2 linked regions of the Alligator mississippiensis genome follow. The protein of the gene in region 2 interacts with the protein of the main gene of each other region in a pairwise test. Links are inferred from orthologs where the notes say so. Each region holds a gene or a part of one and is shown on either strand. Other genes may lie near its edges. The genes, in order: PSMF1 and RBFOX2.

The links.
Region 1: the proteins of RBFOX2 (region 2) and PSMF1 interact in a two-hybrid assay, tested with the Homo sapiens proteins (2 studies listed by BioGRID and IntAct). The two-hybrid records come from large-scale screens. The link is inferred for Alligator mississippiensis from reciprocal best matches to the Homo sapiens genes RBFOX2 and PSMF1.

What each region holds. Positions count from the first base shown.
Region 1 is NC_081832.1:1,941,136-1,950,470, reverse strand, and holds the start of PSMF1 (proteasome inhibitor PI31 subunit), read right to left. Parts: upstream 3,920-9,335; 5' UTR 3,890-3,919; coding exon 3,761-3,889; intron 3,616-3,760; coding exon 3,463-3,615; intron 3,271-3,462; coding exon 3,188-3,270; intron 2,573-3,187; coding exon 2,381-2,572; intron 1,736-2,380; coding exon 1,682-1,735; intron 7-1,681; coding exon 1-6. UniProt on the Homo sapiens protein: Plays an important role in control of proteasome function. Inhibits the hydrolysis of protein and peptide substrates by the 20S proteasome. Also inhibits the activation of the proteasome by the proteasome regulatory proteins PA700 and PA28.
Region 2 is NC_081827.1:101,110,083-101,119,763, forward strand, and holds the start of RBFOX2 (RNA binding protein fox-1 homolog 2), read left to right. Parts: upstream 1-6,204; 5' UTR 6,205-6,487; coding exon 6,488-6,697; intron 6,698-9,681. UniProt on the Homo sapiens protein: RNA-binding protein that regulates alternative splicing events by binding to 5'-UGCAUGU-3' elements. Prevents binding of U2AF2 to the 3'-splice site.

The sequences.
Region 1 (9,335 bases), on a different chromosome or scaffold from region 2:
CGGCCCCTGCAAGGGGGAAGGAAAAGGAGAGCAGGGTCAGCATCGGCTCCATGGGGAGAGGCGCAGGATGCAGCACGACCTGCCCTTGCATGCTTGCACCTGGACCAGTGAGACCTGTGGCCCGATTCTCATGTGCAAGCAGGCCCCTGTGCTCCATGCTGGCGATGCAGCGCAGCCCCAGGGTGCTGAGAACCATGCCCTTCTCCTAAGGCCTGGCCAGGGCAGCCTTTGGGCCTGTCTGCCCTGGTATGGGGGCAGAGATGCGTTTGGTAGCACGACCAGAAACATGGCACAGCCTGCGCTGCACACTGATGAGCTGTGGACAGACCCCAGGCCCAAGGAAACCCCTCTTCTGTCTTAGGCCACCTTAACCGCCGGTGCTACCTCTACCTGGTGCCTCCTAGAGAGGTCATTGCACTGAAGATGAAATGCCTTTGTGAGAGCAGTGGAGCATGGCGCCTTCCCCATCCCCTCTCGCTGCTACGTGGGGCTAAAAACAGACAACCGGTTGGATCACATCAGAGCGTTTTGTGCTGCCTCAAATCCAGACGTTACAGACCGCGGAGCATTAGGTACCTATTCAAATCGATGCATTGCTTTGGTCACGGCTAATTCAAGCTAATTGCCATTGAAGCTTGTGTGTAAACAACTGTCTGTGCCTGTTTGGATGTGAGCGATATGCCAGCCAATGCAGGGCCACATCCGACCGGGTGTCTGTTTTAGCCTAGGATCACTCTACATCCACCCCTTGGCTCTTTTCCAGCCCTCCTGCCTGCCCTCCAAAAAGGCAAAAATCTGATCCCGGGCCTCCGGGGCGGTGAGGAGCTGGCTCGTGTCTCCAGGGGCTGGTTCTAGTGTAGGATCACAGGAAGGGACCTCACAAAGTCACGTCTAGTCCAGCCCCCTGCTCACGCCAGGAGCATCACCAGCTAAACCATCCCAACCCGCTTTTGAAAACGTCCCGGGATGGAGATTACACAACTCCTCTGGGCTCCTGTTGCAATGCCTGACCTCTTTCAGAGTCAGAAAATTCATCTCCAGCCTAAATTCTTCCCTGCTGCCACTTGAGGTCATTGCTCCTAGCTCTGCCCAGCTTGGCTGTGTTCCCCTCTGACTGCGGATGGCTTCCCCACAACAGGCGAGGCTGGTGCACACAGCAGACGTGATGCATCAGTCCGGCATCCTCCTGGCCCCAGCCCAAAGGCTCCTGCCGAGCTCATGCTGCAGGGTCACATATGGGACCAGAGAAGGGGGCAAATCCTTCCCCCCTCCCTTCCACCAGCTTTCGGGGCCACCGAGGTGACAGCTGGCAACATGCTAAATGCAAGGCTTACACGCCCTGAGCTTCATGGTCAGCCTCGTCTTATCAGAGGAATTACTGCGTGTTAAATGAATCCAAGCTGATTATTCAGGCGCCCCAAGCTGTAGGAGCCCATTGTGAGATCAAAACCACATTTGGGTTTTGCCAGCACCAAGGGGGAGTCCCTTGCCCTCTGCATGCAGCAACTGCCCCACCGGCATCCACATGGGAAACCTAGGCACGAATTGATTTAAGGGATTTTGGAGGCATCCAATGCATCCCACCCCACCACAAGCAGGACACGGCTGCTCTCACTTCCAAGGGGGCACCGGAAAGGCTGTGGAGGTGGGTGGAGCGCCCCATCTCCCCAGCCATACTCACCCAAAGGGGTCCAGGTCCTCTCCGCCCACTGCAAAGGGGCCCAGGGGAGATGGCCTGCAAGACAAGACACAGTGACTGCGAGGCGGGACACCAGCTATACAGAGCCGTGCACTTCGGTGGGGTGCCACGTGCAGGAGGCAGCGCGAGGGAGCAGGAGGATGTGGCGGACATGCACAGGGTGCGTGTCAGAGCGTGTTAGCAGTGGAGGCTGCGGTTCTTCACTGGGACCATGCCCAGCTCCAGTGTGCTGCAGACCTGGAGCCGGCACTGCCATGGCCAGCCCCAGGCACTGGGCCAGCCCCTGTGCACGTGGACACTGGTGCCGTGGCCTGGAGAGCAAGGCGTGCAGGTCAGTGTCCTGTAGGGCCCAGGTGGGGAGGGGGTTTTCACAGGGCACTCTCCAGCCCCCATTTCACCCACAGCTCCTTGCCAGGGATGCTGGTGGCAGGGTCCTGCACCCCCACGACTCCGAAACACACCTGCCAGCTGAAAACTACACCTGCTGGCTCCTTCTTCTGCCAGCCAACGTGGGCAGACATGGGGTGAGGGGGCTTGGGGCTGCTCCTGCATCCTTCAGAGCCATGGTGCAACACCAAGGCTGGGGAGAAGGCAGCTGGGAGGGGACACGGGGCGCATGGGGGCAGCACAGGTGGCCTCTGTGCTCTGCCACCCCCTTCCTGCCCCCTCCACCCCACTCACCAGGGGGGCTCCCTGCTGAGCGGGGGCTGCCGGGGCGGGATCCTCAGGGGGTCGTAGTCGTGGTGGGAAGCTGGTGGGACCGTCCTCTCCGGCTTGGACTCCTTCTTGTTGTCCTTCTCCTTGTCAGTCCTGAATGGGGAGATGATGCCCGAGACGATCCTCGTCCTCAGCTCCTCCACGTTCTTGTACACCCTGCGGGGACGGAGAGGGATGGCTGCTGGGCACACGCTGGGGCCACCTGCCCCACTGCCAGCCTGAGGGATTGGGGAGCTGGGCCATCGTGCTAGCACAAGGGTGGGCAAAACGTAGCCCGGGGGCCAGATGTGGCCTGCCAGGCCATTCTATCCAGCCTGCGAGGTCCCTAAAAAATTTAGAAAATTAATATTTATCTACCCCCCAGCTGCCTGTCACGTGGCCCTCGATGGCTTGCCAAAACTCAGTAAGTGGCCCTCTGCCCAAAATAATTGCCCACTCCTGTAATGGCAGCTTGCAGGGAGGACAGGGGGGAACAGGCGCCTCTCATCCCCTGGCTGGCCCCGTCCAGGCACACGCTCCTCTACCCTGTATCTTCTTACAGGACCCCCGTAGGGGTGAGTGCGATGGGAACGTGGCACCGCACATGTTCAAAATACCGCAAGGACCCACTGAAAAGCCCGTGGCCCCTTGGCAGACCCGGCCCATGGCTGCAGCTACCCACGTGTGGGCGCAAAGCTTCCCCGCTCGCAGCCAGGGACGTGCCGGGCTGCCCCTCGCTGCTGCCCCTCCCTGGCTCTCAATGGCTCCAGCCCCGCTCGCCCGGGCAGTTACATGTGGAAGTCGTCCAGGTGCTCCGGGTCCACGTAGTCCGCCACGTTCAAGGTCACGTCCGCCACCTGCAGTGAGCTGCGGTCCTGGGCGAGGGCAAGGAAGGGCCGTGTCAGCTGCCAGCGGATGGGAGCAGGCGCCACGGCCCGCTCCCCGCCTGCACACCCAAGCTGCCAGGGCAGCTGGGTCCCCGGGGCACGTCTCCCACCCGTGGCGTCGGGGATGGAGCTGCCTGGGCACGAGGGAGGGCCCCGAGCTCCCCCCAGGCGTGGGCTCACCATGACATTGAGGATCATGCTGGTGTCCACCATGATGGCCTTGAGCAGCAGCTCCTGGCTGTCGTCCTGGGCCTGGTACCGCAGCGTGTACAGCTCCTTGTCCACGTGCCACCCTGCCGGCAGCAGCTCCGACTTCCTCTCGTTGGGACCCGCCTGGGGGGCAAGCACGGCTCAGGGCGGCGGCATGCACAGACCCCCTTAGGCCGCCCCTAAGGGCCTGCCACAAGGGACGGGTGCCGTGCCCCAGCACTGGCAGAAGCGAAAGCGAAAGCGGGCTGGGGGGTCGCCCCGCACTCACCCGGTCGCCGGCGCCCAGGCAGCGGTAGCCCTGCGTGACCAGCTCCCAGTGCACGGCGCACAGCAGCGCGTCCTGCGCCCGGCTCAGCCCCGCCAGCGCCCACGCGTGCAGCACCTCCAGCCCCGCCATGCTCGTTCCCGGCTGCGCAGCTGCGCCGCCCCGCCCCGCCCCGCCCCGCACGGCACCGCCTCCTGTGGGCGGGCACACGCTGCGGGAGGGGCGGGGCGGCGCGGGGCGGCGCGGCACACACGTGGGCGGACGCGTGCGTGTGTTGGGGGGAGGGGTCATTGTGTGTGCGCATGTGTATGTCTTGGGGGGGGAAGAGCCAGTGTGTCGGTTGCATGCACGTGTGTGTGTGTGTGTGTTGGGGGGCCAAATGTCAGGGTCACACGTGGGTGTGTGCATGGGGAGGGCAAGAGCTAGGATCACGTGTGTATGTGTGTGTGTTGGGGACCAAGGGCCAGGGTCACGCATGGGTGTGTGCATGGGGAAGGGGAGAGCTAGGATCGTGTGTGTGTGTGTGTGTGTGTGTGTGTGTGTGTGTGTGTGTGTGTGTTGGGGACCAAAGGCCAGGGTCACACATGGGTGTGGGTGTGTGCATTGGGAGGGCGGGAGTTAGGATTGTGTGTGTGTGTGTGTGTGTGTGTGTGTGTGTGTGTGTGTGTGTGTGTGTGTGTGTGTTGGGGACCAAAGGCCAGGGTCACACATGGGTGTGGGTGTGTGCATTGGGAGGGCAGGAGTTAGGATCGTGTGTGTGTGTGTGTGTGTGTGTGTGTGTGTGTGTGGGGGGGGGGGGGGGGAAACAGGGTCATGTGCATGTGGTGGGAGGCCAAATGCCAGGGTCACATGTGAGTGTGTGCATGGGGGGGGGCAAGAGTTAGGATCATACGTGTGTGTGTGTGTGTGTATTGAGGGGCAAGGGCCAGGGTGACACGTGCGTGTTGGGGGGTTTGCCCCCAGGAAGGAGGCAGTGTTTTCCGTGTCCCCAACCCGGAGGCCGGCCCCTGCCCCTGCCCCGGCCCGTCCCCTCCCTGCACCCGGGCAGGGCTGGAGTGAAGCGGCTCCAGAGGTGCCTGGCAGAGAAGGGCCGCACTGCCCGTCTGCACAGCGCTAGTGGTGCTGAGCATCACGCAGATGCACGCGTGAATCCAGCGCCCACGCGGGGCCCCGTGCCAACCTGGCTCCCAGAACCGAGTTTGGAGGGAGGGTCTGGGACCGGGCGCTGCCCTGCATGTCACCGACCTTCCCAGGCTCCTGCCTCTCCTGTGGGCCCTGCTCCGGCTCCAGGCGCGGGGATGCAAAGGGAGGTGGGGGAGGCCGGCAGCCTGGGGCCCTGCCGGTTTATGGCCTGGCGGTTGCTGGGTGACGGGTGAGGTGACAAGGGCCCCGAGTTCCATGTTCTGAGCTGTCCCAGGGCTGGGCACGGCCTGTCCTCGCCCCTGCCCGCAGCCCCTGAGCATCCACGCGGCAGCTGCATCCATGCGGCAGCCGCTTCCAGGAGGCAGTGGGATTGCCCTGGGAGAAGTGGGGCTCACGCGCAGGTGCCCGGGCAGGATCCAATCCTTTCCCCTGCGTGTGCATGGCAGAGGTGCTGGGCAGCGGGGCTGGCAATGTCAGCATCCTGTTACAGGAGCCGGAGCTGGCTCCGGGCTGGGTGCGAGCTGCTCCAGAGGGTAGGATTCGTTTCCCCTTTCCTGTGTCATCTTTCCAGGCTTCTCTCTCCATCATCCGGAGCGGCGCGGCACGGCACACGCTAGAGGGCTCCCGATGCTTTTGCAAACCCCACGGACGCTCCTGCCAAACCCCTCCCTGCTCCAGCTCCTCTCCCTGCAGCTCCAGGGATGCTGCAAGTGGAGCCCGTTGCTCCTTGTTCTCTCATCTGCCACCAGCCCAGCCCCATCCTCTTTGGGACCACCTGCAGGGAGCTGAAGGCTGCTATTCAATCCCCTCTCGGTCTTCTCTTCTGTAGACTCAATCGGCCCAGTTCCCTCAGCCTCTCCTCACCAGTCCTGTCCCCGGGCCCCAAGCCATTTTCGTTGCCCTCCGCTGGACTCTCCAATTTGTCCACGTTGGAAGCTGTCTGGGTTTTGGGGAAGGGAGGTGGCTGGTTGCTGCAGACAGGACCTAAGAGCCAGGGGTGCTTCACTTGGGCTTTGCAAGTCCCTCCTGGCCTGTCTTTCCACAGGCCCAAAGAGGCTGCCGACACGGGGTGCCCTGCATGAAATGCAGAGCCTGGACCCAGCTGCAGCTAGCGGGAGTGTTTGGAGGTCAGGGCATTCAGAAAGCAGCCCCTGGGATCCCAGCACAGCAGCCAGGGCCTTTGGGTCCCAACATCCCTGTCCACAAAAGGGGATAACGCTCTTCCATCTCGGGGGGCCGTGGGAGGCTCCATTCATGATGCCCGCACAGTGCTTGGAGCATGGAAGCTCTTCACAGGCGGTCAGTGCTGGTCTTATCTCAGCCCCCAGCTAACGAGGGCTATCTGTCTTCTTCCAGAGAAACGGCTTCCCTGGTAACCAGCTGCCTTCCACCTTTTCCTGCGGTTATCCCAGTCCATCGGGGTCTCTCGTTGGATGGGGGAAGAGCAGAGTTTGGCTGCCTGGCTTGCTCGTTCTCACCACCCTTCCCTGCTGCTGATGCAGGACGAGAGCAAAGGGCCCGAGCCCTGGATCACACCTGACTGCAGATGCACCCGGCAAAGGGGACACAAGGTGCCATATGCAGCTCCAGAAAGTCACTGCAAATAGCACCTGCTGCTGCCTCCAGTGCCCTCATGTCCAGCTCGGCAAACATGGACCCGAGAGTCTAACTTGTACGTGCATTTGATTCATAGATTCATAGACGTTAGGGTCGGAAGGGACCTCAATAGATCATCAAGTCCGACCCCCTGCATAAGGGGGACGGACATGCACGTGTGGACTTTGCACGTGCAGCTGCTGGATGAACATACATCCAGCAGCTGCACGTGCAAAAGGGCCAGTTCTGGTTTGCAGACCAGCATATACAGTTGTGCCCTCTGGGCCTGCAAAGCAGACGTGCATTTTCAACCAGCAGCTATTAGAAAACCATTTGCAAACCCACTGCCTATGGTTTGCTAGAGTCTGATCCATGCTTTTGCACCCCCGGCCTCTCCGAAGCAGGGCTTGCCACTAGCAGACCAAGACATTGGCTGACAGAAGCTATTTTAAAGAAAAAGAGTGTATCGCACCACATCCAAGTGGCCTTCGAGCTCACCGCTGAGCTTTTAGACTAACAGCCCCTTTGGCATCTCTCAGACACCTATCGCAATAGCACCAGGCGGCTTTTCAGCAGTTTATTGTAGCAAGGCTATTTCTATGCCTATCATGACCTGCATCATTTCTAATATATGCACCGGACTTCCTCGCTGTGCAAGGAGCGGTTGCAATAGCTTCAGTAACTTTCCTTTCTAGACCCAATTCATTTCCGCCCATAGGAGCTCGGCGGCAGATACGTTGTCAGGAAAGCGGCAAGCCAGACGTCACTGGGGGCAAGTCAGAGCGGTCCAGACCGAGCTGGCGTATAGGAGGGATGCTCTTTGGGAATCACCACGTTGGCTCGTAGAACGGACGGCTTCCTGGATCTCCCTGGCTTATGGCAAATAAATCTTGCACGCTTAATTTCATGAGTGTTAGGAAATGGGCTCTGCTCAAAGCGAGCTTTTCCAGAAAGCCCCTGCCTTCCCACCTTGGCAGATACCCAAAGGCCCAATGCTTTTCCCTGTTGGGACTCAGGGAAGTTTATGCTCTGGACTTTGGTGGGAGTAGGTTTTGGCTGGGACAGCAGGGCAAGAGCATAGCATTTCGCTGCAGGCACCCTGTCCTTTCTGGAGTGGAGCTCCCTGCCCTTCGGGAGGCTGTGATTCAACATAATTAATAAGCACCGAGTGGAGATAACTCAGGGCAAGTCCTCCGGCTCCCCTGGAAGATGCACCACGCCTGAAGGAGCGATGCCTCACAGCCGCCACTCGCAAGCATGATTCATCTCCCCTCGTGGCAGGGCCGAGGCGGAGTCACACCTCTTGCTAACCTCGCCTGTCTGTCCTGGCTCCCTGCGAGGCTGGAAGCTGTCTCTGACGCCCTGGCTGCGTGGGAGTCTGTAGGGATCCGGCCTCTGGCTTTGCACCGGATGCTCGTGCAGCGAGGAGAGGCCCGGGCGCCTGCAGAAATCCTGTCTGCGGGAGCTGGAGCGTATGCTCTCGACTTCATGCTCTCCCGACACATGAAGGGGCAGCTCCGGGTTGTGGCATCAGAAGTTTGAAGCAACGCTGCGGTACAGGCGGGTCCGAGAGCAGGGGCTTGACTGCACGGGTCTATCTGGAAGCAGCCGAGGCCAGGTCTGGCATCAGAAACACGGCGGCAGGGGCACGGGGAGATGGGCAAACTCCCTGGTCTCGAATGCATGGTGGCATGGGTGAGAACATCCCCTGCCCCCCTTCAGTAACAGCTTGGCAGGAGCAGCCCCACAGTTGAAGCTCGTTAAGAAGGAAGGCAGCTCCGCCGTGCCTGATTCAGCTGGGAATGGCAGGAAATGACAGCAGCAGAACGGTTTCCAGCCCTTTGCAAATGATTCACACCCGGCCCGCCATGCCGAGCCCAGGCAGAGTTTCCATCCGTCCATCACACGTCTCGTTTCAGAAGGGCAGCAGTAATGCTTTGCAGACATTCGTGGCAGCCTGGCTCCCCTCCACTCATGCTGACCTTTCATCCGTGGACATGTGGCCAAGCGGATTCCCCCGTGCTCCCATCCACATCGTATTTCATTGATCCGTTTTTCCAAACCGTCCCTATTGTCTAGCCTGGCGCCTGCAATCCTGAGCGTTCAATCCAGAAACTTCACTCGAAGTGTCAAGGACGTCCTGCCTCCAAATTGAAAACATGCCAGGAGGACTGATGGGCCCACGTAAAAACAGCTTGGGGTGTCCCCAGGACTCATCCGGAGCCGCAGCTCGCACGGTTTCCACAGACATCTTGCAGCGCGGAGCTGCGAGTGGCACAAGCCTTGTAGCCTGGCACAGCCGGCTTGTGGGCAGCAGTCGACCCCTGCGCACGGGAGATTTATCCAGCCCTGGTGCATAGGTTTGCCCATCCATCTGCCTGTCCGCGCGAGTTTGCTCGGCCCAGCTGGACTTTCAGTTCCGTGGATGTTTGGTTTCTTTCCAGTGGAAACTTTGCCCCACGAGCGCAGAAGTGAGGCAACTTTCCGGCGGCCCGGCCCCGCTCCGTCCCAGGCGGACTCTAATTGGAGCCGAAGGCTTGGATTTTGCCTCTCCCATCCAAGTGCCAGCCTGAACATCCCCGCTGGCTGGGGAGGGCCCTCCTCTCGGCATCGCCGCTTCGTTTCTTTTCCCTTCCCCTTGCCGAAATGGCTGCCAGTTCTGGGTGGGACGAAGGAGGCTCTAATTGCTTTGTCTTCAGCAATGGCTCTCTGGGAGGATGGACGCATCAGTGACAACTGAGCTATCCTCGGGGTGAATTCAGCTCCATGTGTCTATAATTGAGCGCCGTTTCAGTTGGTTGCCCTTGCGTGTTGAGTCAAGCAGTAACTCCCCTCTGCT
Region 2 (9,681 bases):
CATGTAGCTTTATAATTGTTTTAAAAAAGGTACTTGAACACTGGCACCTAATAGCAAAAACATACTATTTTTAATGTAACCTTGAAAACTATTTCTGTAACGGGAAAAATAAAGCATATAGGGTGGCTGAAGCCAAGCGTAACAACTGGAATTCAAAACTGAAGCCTGGGTAATTTAATGAAGATTAGTAACAGTTGTAACCATAAACTAAGATAAGGCTAATTGATTCTCAGGCTACAGGGCATAAGATGATAGCTAGGGAGTCAAGAAGGACTTCTCAATTCCACAAATTCACTACTGGTAGGATCATTGTGTGTGGTGGGGTTTGTTTGTTTTTTACTGCCTTCCCCTGAAGCATCAGTGAATAATAATTGTAAGGTAGGATGCCTGAGCATATAGAGCAATGCCCAGTCCCAGTACAGCAAACCTGTTGGATAGTTTACATGGTAAATAGCTTCATCCAAACCATCTAACCAAGAGCCAGATGATGGTGATGATAACTTCAGTCTAAAGCTATGTGTACACTAGAAGTACTTACAACAAAACCAGTAAGAACAAAAGTGCAGCAGGGCGCACTGAAGTGAACAGGGAAGTTCACTTATCTTGGAGGTATTGTCATCTGTTGTGGTGGCAGCACAAATATATGCCCTAGAACAGGGAAAATCCAAGTAGTATTTTGTTCCTGTTAAACTAGTTTAGAAGTTGAGACCAATTAGATTGAAGAACAAACATTGGACTTTTGGTACAAATCTAAAGTCAGTTTTATTATATGGGGCACAAACAATGGAGAAATACAGAGAGGTGAGGAAAAGACTTCAGATCTGTGCAGATTGCTGCCTGTGTCAATTTGCAGATAACAAGAGGCCTGAATGGATAATAAATGTGAAGCTGAGCCGGAGAACATGGGAGAGACCTAGCTACATCATCAAACCACTTCTGCGGCAGCAAGGCTTAACTTACAACAATATAAAATAAGGTGTGAATTTAAACCCATATAACAGTGATTTTCAACCTTTTTAAACTCCAGAGCTTTTCTGAATTTAGTGGCACCCTCTGCAGATGAAGGCAGAGGGAGCCCATCCTTTTTGTTGTGCAAGGGAGATATGCCATGATACACAAAGTCCAGCAGGTGCCCCTGACCCACTGGGAAGTGCAGGAGCAGTTTTTACTATATCTTGCCTTCCCTTCCATCAGGCCAGGCTGCAGCAGGGCACCCCTTTCCTGCCTCAACTGCTTTCCAGATCTAGCCCTGTATAATGTCTTCTGGAAACAGAGGCACAAAGGGACAGTTCCACCTGGTAGCAGTGCAGGACAGCACCTTTAAAAGGATATCATAGCACCCTAAGGTGCTGCATCAGTCCAGTTAAGAATTACTGCCATATAGTTATACACGGATGATGTCTGTTGACACTTGCTCTGGAATGAGTGATTTTATTTCCATTTAGTGTATGTCACTGTGGAAGAGGCCTAAGCTAAATGAGAAGTCACTGCTTCTGGAATTGCCAATGTCTATATAGAGAGTTTACTAATGTAACTATTTGTTTAATTATAGTGTATAACTGGGAAAAATTTCTGGTATGTGGGTCCTATGAGATGGGCAATCAAGTAGGTATAAATAGTAATTTTTCAACATGACAAAAGAGATTAATGATGCGATGCTCTCAAAGGGCACTCTGAGACCTACACTGCTTGCTGACAGTCTGGAAAACAGAGGATAAACAGTTTCATGGTAAAATCTGCCAATGAAACAAGATTACTTAGCTCAGTGAGATTATGATGCACTCTAAACATGCTTAGCCAAGACGGGCAAGTAGGAGCATGGTGGGAAACAAAGTCTAGTGCTGAGAATTGCAAGGAAAAGCAAAGGGGAAGGAGCGATTTGAGCATGGGAGGCAGGGGGATGGCCTCTGAATAAGAACTTTCTAGAGTTTAAATGCTGCAAGCTGCAAGTGGGAGAGGAACAGTGGGAAAAACAGTGCCCCTCGCCCCTTACAGAAAGGATGTGGACAAATTACAGAGAGTTCAGTGGAGGGCAATGAAAGTGGTTAGGGGGCTGGGACACATGACTTATGAACTGAGGTTGAGGGAACTGGGCTTATTTAGTCTGGAGGAGAGAAGACTGAGGGGGGATTTAATAGCAGCCTTCAACTACCTGAAGAGGGGTTCCTAGGAGGTTGCAACTAGACTTGTTCTCAATGGGTGCTTGTACATATGACAGGGGTTTAGCCCTCAGAGTTTTCCTCTATGCCCCTTAAATCGAAGTGGTGGGTTTTTAATTGAAACCCGCTGCTTCAGTTTTTCCATCGTGTTACAGCAGGGGGCCTGATCATTTTTTTTTTCTTTTTGGAGTTGGAGCCTGCCTGCAGCCAGCAGTGAGCTGCTGAGGCTGGCGCCTCACCTAGCCTCACAGCACTCCCCATCCCACCACCTGAGCCGGCTGGAGGACACCAAACCGGTCTGTTTTTCCACTGTCTGTCGCTGCCACCTCTAAATGCTCATGTGCCGCACTATCCATCATGTTGCCCTCACATCCTGCCCAGACACCAAGTGGCGGGACCTGCTCAGTGAGGGCATGGCTGGGGCACCCCAGTGGCTTAGCCTATACTTTGCCTTCATCCCACAAGCCACTGGGGACCTCAGCTGGTGGCTCCTCCATGGAGCCATCACCACAGGCATATATGTGGTGAGCTTCACAGGCCCTGGCACACATGCAGGAATGATGCATGCCCCTGGCGGCTGGGGGGGCATGATGGCAGCAGGAGTGCGGTGGCAGTAAGCAGGAGCTCCCACAGACGCCAACAACAGTATCATCATAGGGGGGCAGGCGAGCCCCAACCAGACAAACATAGACACTACCAGCAGCATCAGCATTGGCCAGCGGTGATCGCTGACTGCCCACAGATGCCGCTGCCAGTGTCAGCGGTGGGAGTGGTAAGCAGTGACCGCCTGCAGGTGGCGGTCCCCCTTCTTGTAGGGGGTGCACCGCCAAGCTCAGGGGGTGCACGTGCACCCATGTGCACCCTCTATGCGTCACCCCTGCGCACATGACACTCAAGTGCGCCAGGATGCAACACCTCCACCTCCACCTTCTGAACCTCCTCCTGAGGTTCTGGATGAATTTCACCCCCACACCTTTTTATTTTTGGGCACTCCATTTGCAGCCCCACCAAGTCCCGGGACTTCCTGGTCAACCTCCTCCTGGCCCTGGCCAAGTGGGCCCTGTACATAACTAGGAAGGAGGCGCTGGCCAGGAAGGTGCCTGAGGAATGCGGGGCTCCTTTCCTCTCACTCATCCATGCATGTTTCCAGGCAGAGCATCAATGGGCAGCCTCCACCAGCTGCTTGGATGTCTTTGAGGACCAGTGGGTGTGGGATGGGGGGCTCTACTCAGTGTCGTTCCCCCCCGGCGCACTTATTTTCACATTTTGACCCTTGAACCCCTGGTCACGCCTATCCTGCTTTTTCCTCAGTTGTCCCCCCCCCCCCCCCAAATTAAAAAAATTAGTTGTGTCTTTCACCCTTTGGCTTCACACAGTGGGGGCTATTAGTTAGATGGGTGGGCCTTAAGGCCCATGAAGTGGCAGGGGGTGGGGGTGGTGAGTGGCTGGACGCTAGGGGTCCCTTGGCTGTGGGGCCCCCTGTGGCCGCAGGTTTTGCAGGATAGGATGGGCTGGCCCTGACCCGGCCTGCTAGCAGCCCATGGCCCTGGGGTGCACCGCCACCGCGGAGGGAAGGACTAGTTCCCCAACAGATCAGGGGCCACTTGGCCTGCCGGCAGCTCAGCCTCTGGCCACGGGAGAGGCAGGCAGGCTCTGCCAAAATACAAAAAGAGGATTGGGCCATGACTGCAGGGGTGACATGTAGCGGGTGGACGTGGGTGCATGTGCATCCCCTGAGCGTGGTGGTGCACCCCTTACTAAAAGGTGCTGCTAACACTGTCGGTGACACCTGTGGGCAGTCGCTGCTTGCCACCCTGCAGCCGACACCAATGGTGCCATCTGTGGGCGGTTCACAATCCCTGCTGGTCTGTGGGTGGTTGCTGACCCCTGGTCGGCACTCGCCCCCACTCCCCTCCCCTCCTGCCACTGACAGCGCCTGCAGGAGCTTCCCTGCTTACCACCACTGCGCTCCTGCAGCCACCATGCTCCCCCAGCTGCCGGGGGCATGCGTTGTTCATGCATGACTACTTCTGTCTTTGGCAGGCTCCTGTGGCTGGTAAGATGCCTGGGGCCACCTAGGAATGGGCTGGCTTGCCCCTGGGGCAGCGCGGGAAGGCTGCAGGAGAGTGGCTGGGTTAGCTGGCAGCTGGAGAAGGCATCAGGGATGGTGCACAGAGCGCTGGAAGCCCGGGTGAACTGTTAGCTGGCCAGGTGCTGCCCCAGCTCAGAGGTGCCCAATGCAATGCTTCCCTGAGCCCACCCAAGCTTCCAGGGCTTCGTGCACCATCCCCGCCACCTCTTCCAGCTGCCAGCAAACCCAGCTGCCCTCCTGCTGCTGTCCTGCACTGCCCTAGGGACAAACCATCCCATTCCCGGATGGCCCCAGGCATCCTGCCAGCCGGAGGAGCCTGCTGAAAGCAGAAGCAGAGAAGGGCCCGATCCTGTTTTTCTATGGAGCCGTCTTGTTTCTCCTGCAGCTAGGGGGGTGGTGAGTTGACAGCTGGATTGTTGCAATTTGCAATGTTGCAAACTACTACATCCAGATGTAGTTTAGTTTGCAACCATGCAAACTCACTTAACACCCTCAAAAGTCTTGCACATGCCATGTGACGCCATCAAGCCACACAAAGTGACATTTTTGTCATGCGGACATGGTAATGGTGTCATGTATACAAGTGCCCAGTGGTGGCAGACGACAGAGCAAGGAGCAATGGTTTCAAGTTGCAGCAGGGAAGTTTAGGTTAGATATTAAGAAAAACTTTCTCACTAGGAGGGTAGTAAAGCACTGGAACAGGTTACCCAGAGAGGTGGTAGACTCTTCGTCCTTGGAGGTTTTTAAGACCCAGCTAGACAAAGCCTTGGCTGGGATGATCCAGTTGGGGCTGGTCCTGCTTTGAGCAGGGGGTTGGAGTAAATGAGCTCCTGAGGTCCCTGCCAACCCTCATTTTCTACAATTCTATGATTCTAAAAACCCTGGCCGGACCCAGGTCACTGTCCCTGTCTGCGATCACTGTCTGCCACCGTGTGACCCAGTGATGCTGGGCTAGACAGACCTGTGGTCTGACCCAACAAACAGCAGTTCTTATTCCAGAGGCCTTGCGGGGTCAAGTCGAGGGGTGGAGGCTAGGAAGGAGACCTGTTTGTTGGGGCCAGCTCAGCCAAACAGCTTCTGAAGGCTTTATGGCAGGGGGAACAGGGAGCCCAATTTTGCTGTGTAAAGAGTAAGAGGGATTATTTGTAGCATCGTGTGGGGCTGAGCTGGCCCTGGGGGGTGTGGGGGTGTGTGTTGGGAAGGATGTGTTGGGGTGCGCGTGTGGGGCTGTGCTGACCTGGGTGGGGTATGTGCATGCTTGTGTTGGGGTGTGTGTGTAGGGATGTGGGTGCATGCCTATGTGTTGGGGAGGATGAGTGAGGGGCTGCGCTAGCCCAGATGGGGTGTGTGGCTGTTGGGGCACGTGTGAGGGTGAGCTGGCCCATGCGTGTGTGTTGGGGGTTCCTGGGGTCATGAACAAGGCTGGGCGCACAGCGCCGGCGGTGGGAGAGCGGCGGCAAGCTGAAGCTCCCGCAGACGCCGCCGGCACTGTTGGTTGGGTGGTGGTGAGCGCTGACCAGGGGTTGGCGACCACCCGCACACGCTGCTGGCAGTGTCGGCGGCGGCCAGCGGGGAGGGCAGCCCGCCAGCACGTGCCACCGGCGGTGTCAGCGGAGGGGGGGGGGCTGGCAGGCAGCCGACAGTGTTGGCAGCGCCTTTCCGCAGGGGGTGCATGTGCACCCCCTACGCGTGGCCCCTGCCAGGCGTCATTCCCGGCCCCCCCACTGCAAACACACTGAGCGGGGCCGGGCAGCGAGGCTCGGCCGGGCCGGGCCGGGCCGGGCCGGGCCGGGCGAGGCGAGGCGGGGCGGGGCGGGGCGGGGCAGGAGCAGTCCAGCGCCTCACGCCTCCGAGACTGGCCCAGCCGCCGCCGCCATCCCCGCCCAGCCCAGCCCCGCCCGGCCGGCCGAGGCCCCGCCCCCAGGCCGAAGGCTGCCGAGCGGGGGTCGCACCGCCCAGGCGGCGGTTCCGGAGATTGCCGAGGGCCCCGCCACCTTCTCTCGCCCAGTCCGCGAGCCCGATCCCGAACGGCGCGGTGCGGTACGGTGTGGAGCGGCGGTCGGAGCGAGGCGCGTGCTCCCCGACCCCGAGCCCAAGCGCGGCATCGCCCCGGGCAGGCGGGCAGGCAGCGACCGGGCCGGGCCGGGCCGGGCCGGGCCGGGCGGCGGCAGGGATCGCGGCTGTGCAGCGGCGGCCCCCGCAGGGCGCGCGGGGCGGCGGGGTCCGGCGGGCGCGGATGGCGGAGGGCGGCAGCCAGCCCCAGCCGCAGCCTCAGCCGCAGCCCCAGCCGCAGAACCAGCAGCTCCTCCCCGGCGGCGGGGCCCCCAGGGGCATCAAGCGGGAGCCGGAGCCGGAGCAGCCCATGCCTGGCGGGGACGGAGCCGAGAGCGGTCACAGCAAGCGGCTGAGGACGGAGGCGGAGGCGGCCGAGGGCGGCGGCATGCAGGTGCGGGAGCAAAGGGCGGGCGAGCGAGCGGCCCCCACCCGCCGGCCTCTCTCTAGCCGTGGTTTCCCGAGGCCCCCCCCCCCAGGGCGGCGTGTCCTGCCCCTCGGCCCCCACCCGCGGCCCAGAGCCCGGAGCTGGGCACCGCCATAGTCAGGGCTTTAAACCCCCTCCAAAAAAAGTTGATGTCAACTTTACTGCTGGTAAAACACAAACATTGTGGGTGGCCTTGAATTCACACCGGGGTTTTGGACCGCGCCTGCTTCTGTGCTGGCAGTGCGGCCTGCTGCCCCGCAGCCTGGGCAGCCTGACGTTGGGCAGCCTGACGTTGCGCAGCCCCTTGTCAGTGTGCCCAGGGCTGGCTTAAGCAGGTAAGACTTGGGGTCAGACTTGTTGGTGCGTCTTGCCTGGACTCAGCCGGAGCCACCTGCCCTCCAGGTACGCGCTGCCTGCGTGCGCAGCTGACCGGGCAAGCTTTGAGCGGCCTTTGCGAAGTCAGGGCGTCATACGTGTGTCAGGAAGGACGACGCGCAGGCCACTGTCCCCAAGGAGCTGTTTCGCAGCCCTGAATGCTTTGCTTCATAGGAAATTGCCTTGATAGTTAGGCTAAAAGTCCTGCGTCACTCAGCGGCTGAGAGTTTTGGGCTGCTCTCCTCAAACATGTTTTCTGCCACCAAGTCCCTCACCCCCTGGAATTGGGCATCCGCCTAGAACTACGTCTCCCCATATAGCTAGTGAAAGGTGTTTGTTACTGGCCTTGTTTGTTCCTCCACCCGTCCCTAGCCAGTTTTTACTGAGTGACAAGATCAGAGAGTTAGGGGAGCCCATACTAGTTTAGAGCCTGATGGACCGCAAGCTGCTACGTTCAGTGTACGTAGTAAAGTGTACCTACCGCATGGGCAGGATGAGGGGGCAAGGGGGACTGGGCATGTTAGCATCCAGGGCATGTTAGCATCCACTCTGGCACTAATAAAGATGGGTATGAACTCTTGATTTCAGGTGGGCACGTCACTGCAGGAAGAGCACACCAACTGCTACAGCTTCCTTAGCCTGACGAAGGGTTTTTGAACCCGAAAGCTTGCTTAATAACTATTCTCCAACCATTTAGGTTGGTCTAATAAAAGATATCAAATTCACCCAAGGAACCTTGTCTGTCACTGCAGTGAACATTTTTAATTTTTTGAGGGCCCCTTTCCTCTAGTAGTTTTTTTCTGTTTGCTCTTCACTGGGCCTCCCCTTCCTACACTACTGTATTTCTCCCCCTGACTCTCTCTTCTTTATACTGTATTCATGTCTGTATAATGACACCTCTGCCCTGGGGGATGCTGTAGAAGGGGGTAGTTCATATAGTGAACATACATGTTTCTTGTCAGCAGTGACACTTGGCTTGCTCCTGCTCTTGTTTGTTTGCAAATGATATTGAATAGTTGTCGGTGTACCTGGTAACAGAGGAGGAAGGTTTGGGGACATCACATGAGACATTTCCAGGGTTGACAAAGAGAGTGCTACCTCTCATCATTAGATTTGAGGGTAGACAGGTCAGAGAGAAAAGATTCTGTTGTCTTGCCCCAGTGTATTTTGGTCAGTGTTTTGTGCTTTCCTTTTCCAGATGCATTTATTTGAGTCGTTTGGGATTCTGGATATTGTTCTTTTTTCCTTGGCTATATTTAATGTAGCATTATTGTGCTTAGGCAAGTGAGCAGGTGGTCTCAGTGCTTCTTGCGACTGCTTCTTGAACTGAAGGTGTTGGAATGCCTTGAGAACAGTGTGAGCTATTCATCCGGAGTTGCTTCTGGATTTGTGGCTTGTGTTGATTGTCTCTGAAGGGAAAGCCCAGAGCTTTTTCTCCTGACCCTTCTCAAATGCCAGTAGTTACACAACTAGTTTTCTTCACTTTTTTTGTTCTGGCTTCTATTCAGTTACCATGCTGAAGGCTTTTTTGACTACTTTGAAGCAGGAGGGTGTGGAGCTTTTTGTTTGTTTTAGTTCTTCTGTGTGTTTGTTCTTTCCTGCTTGTTTCCCTGTAACCTTCCTTTCTCGCATCACTATATGGTCTGAACTTGGTTTGGAACTTCACGTTCGCTGTTTGCAGTACTCCATGCCCCTGCAAGGGTCACCGGAAGGCACTCTCGTCTTCTCTGTGGCCAAAGTGGTATTTTTGTGAATTCGTAAATCTGCAGGATTGCGCTGGAAAAGCTGCTCAGTGTTGAGGGAAGCTGTGTATATTCTATGGAAGTCTATTGTATGAATGAATGTATGAACTCTGATATACACAGGCAAGGTTCTTTTAGTAGATGTGATGTCTTTTATTAGACCAACTGAGTAGTTGGAAAAAAGTTCTTGGCAAGCTGTTGGGCACTGCCACACTTCTTCAGGCATAGGGAGTCTCTGCTGGTCTGAGATGCTGGAGGAATGAGAGAAGCGAAAAGAGTGGCAGGATGTCAGTGGGAATATAAATAGGTAGAAATTAGAAAGACAAAAGGTAAAGCAGGGGTTGGGGGGGAAGGTCAAAGGGAGACATTACAGTGATAGAATACAAGGTAGGAAAGAGGCTGTCTGTGAAAAAGGAAATAGTGGAAGATCAGGAAGACAGGAATGAGAGAAGCTTAAAAGTGTGACAGGATGTCAGTGAAAATATAAATAGGTAGAAATTAGCAAAAGAAAATTAGAAAAACAAAAAGTTATAGCAGTGAACACTGATAGGAATTTCTTCCAGCTAATAGGAAGCCATGTCATGCCAGGTTTTGTCCCAAATGAGAGATGCTAGTGTGACTAAAACTCGTGGTTAATTTTGTTTGATATGTATACAGGCCAGTTGTAAACCAGTGTAAATGTGCCCACACGAGGTTTTGCGCTTGTTTAATTAAATAAATTTAAAACTCAATTTTATTTCAACTGGTGCTACTTTTATATATAAGAAAGGCATCGCTGACTTTCAGGCAGACAATGCCTTTTGTTTTATGTGCCTACATTAACACAGTAGAGTA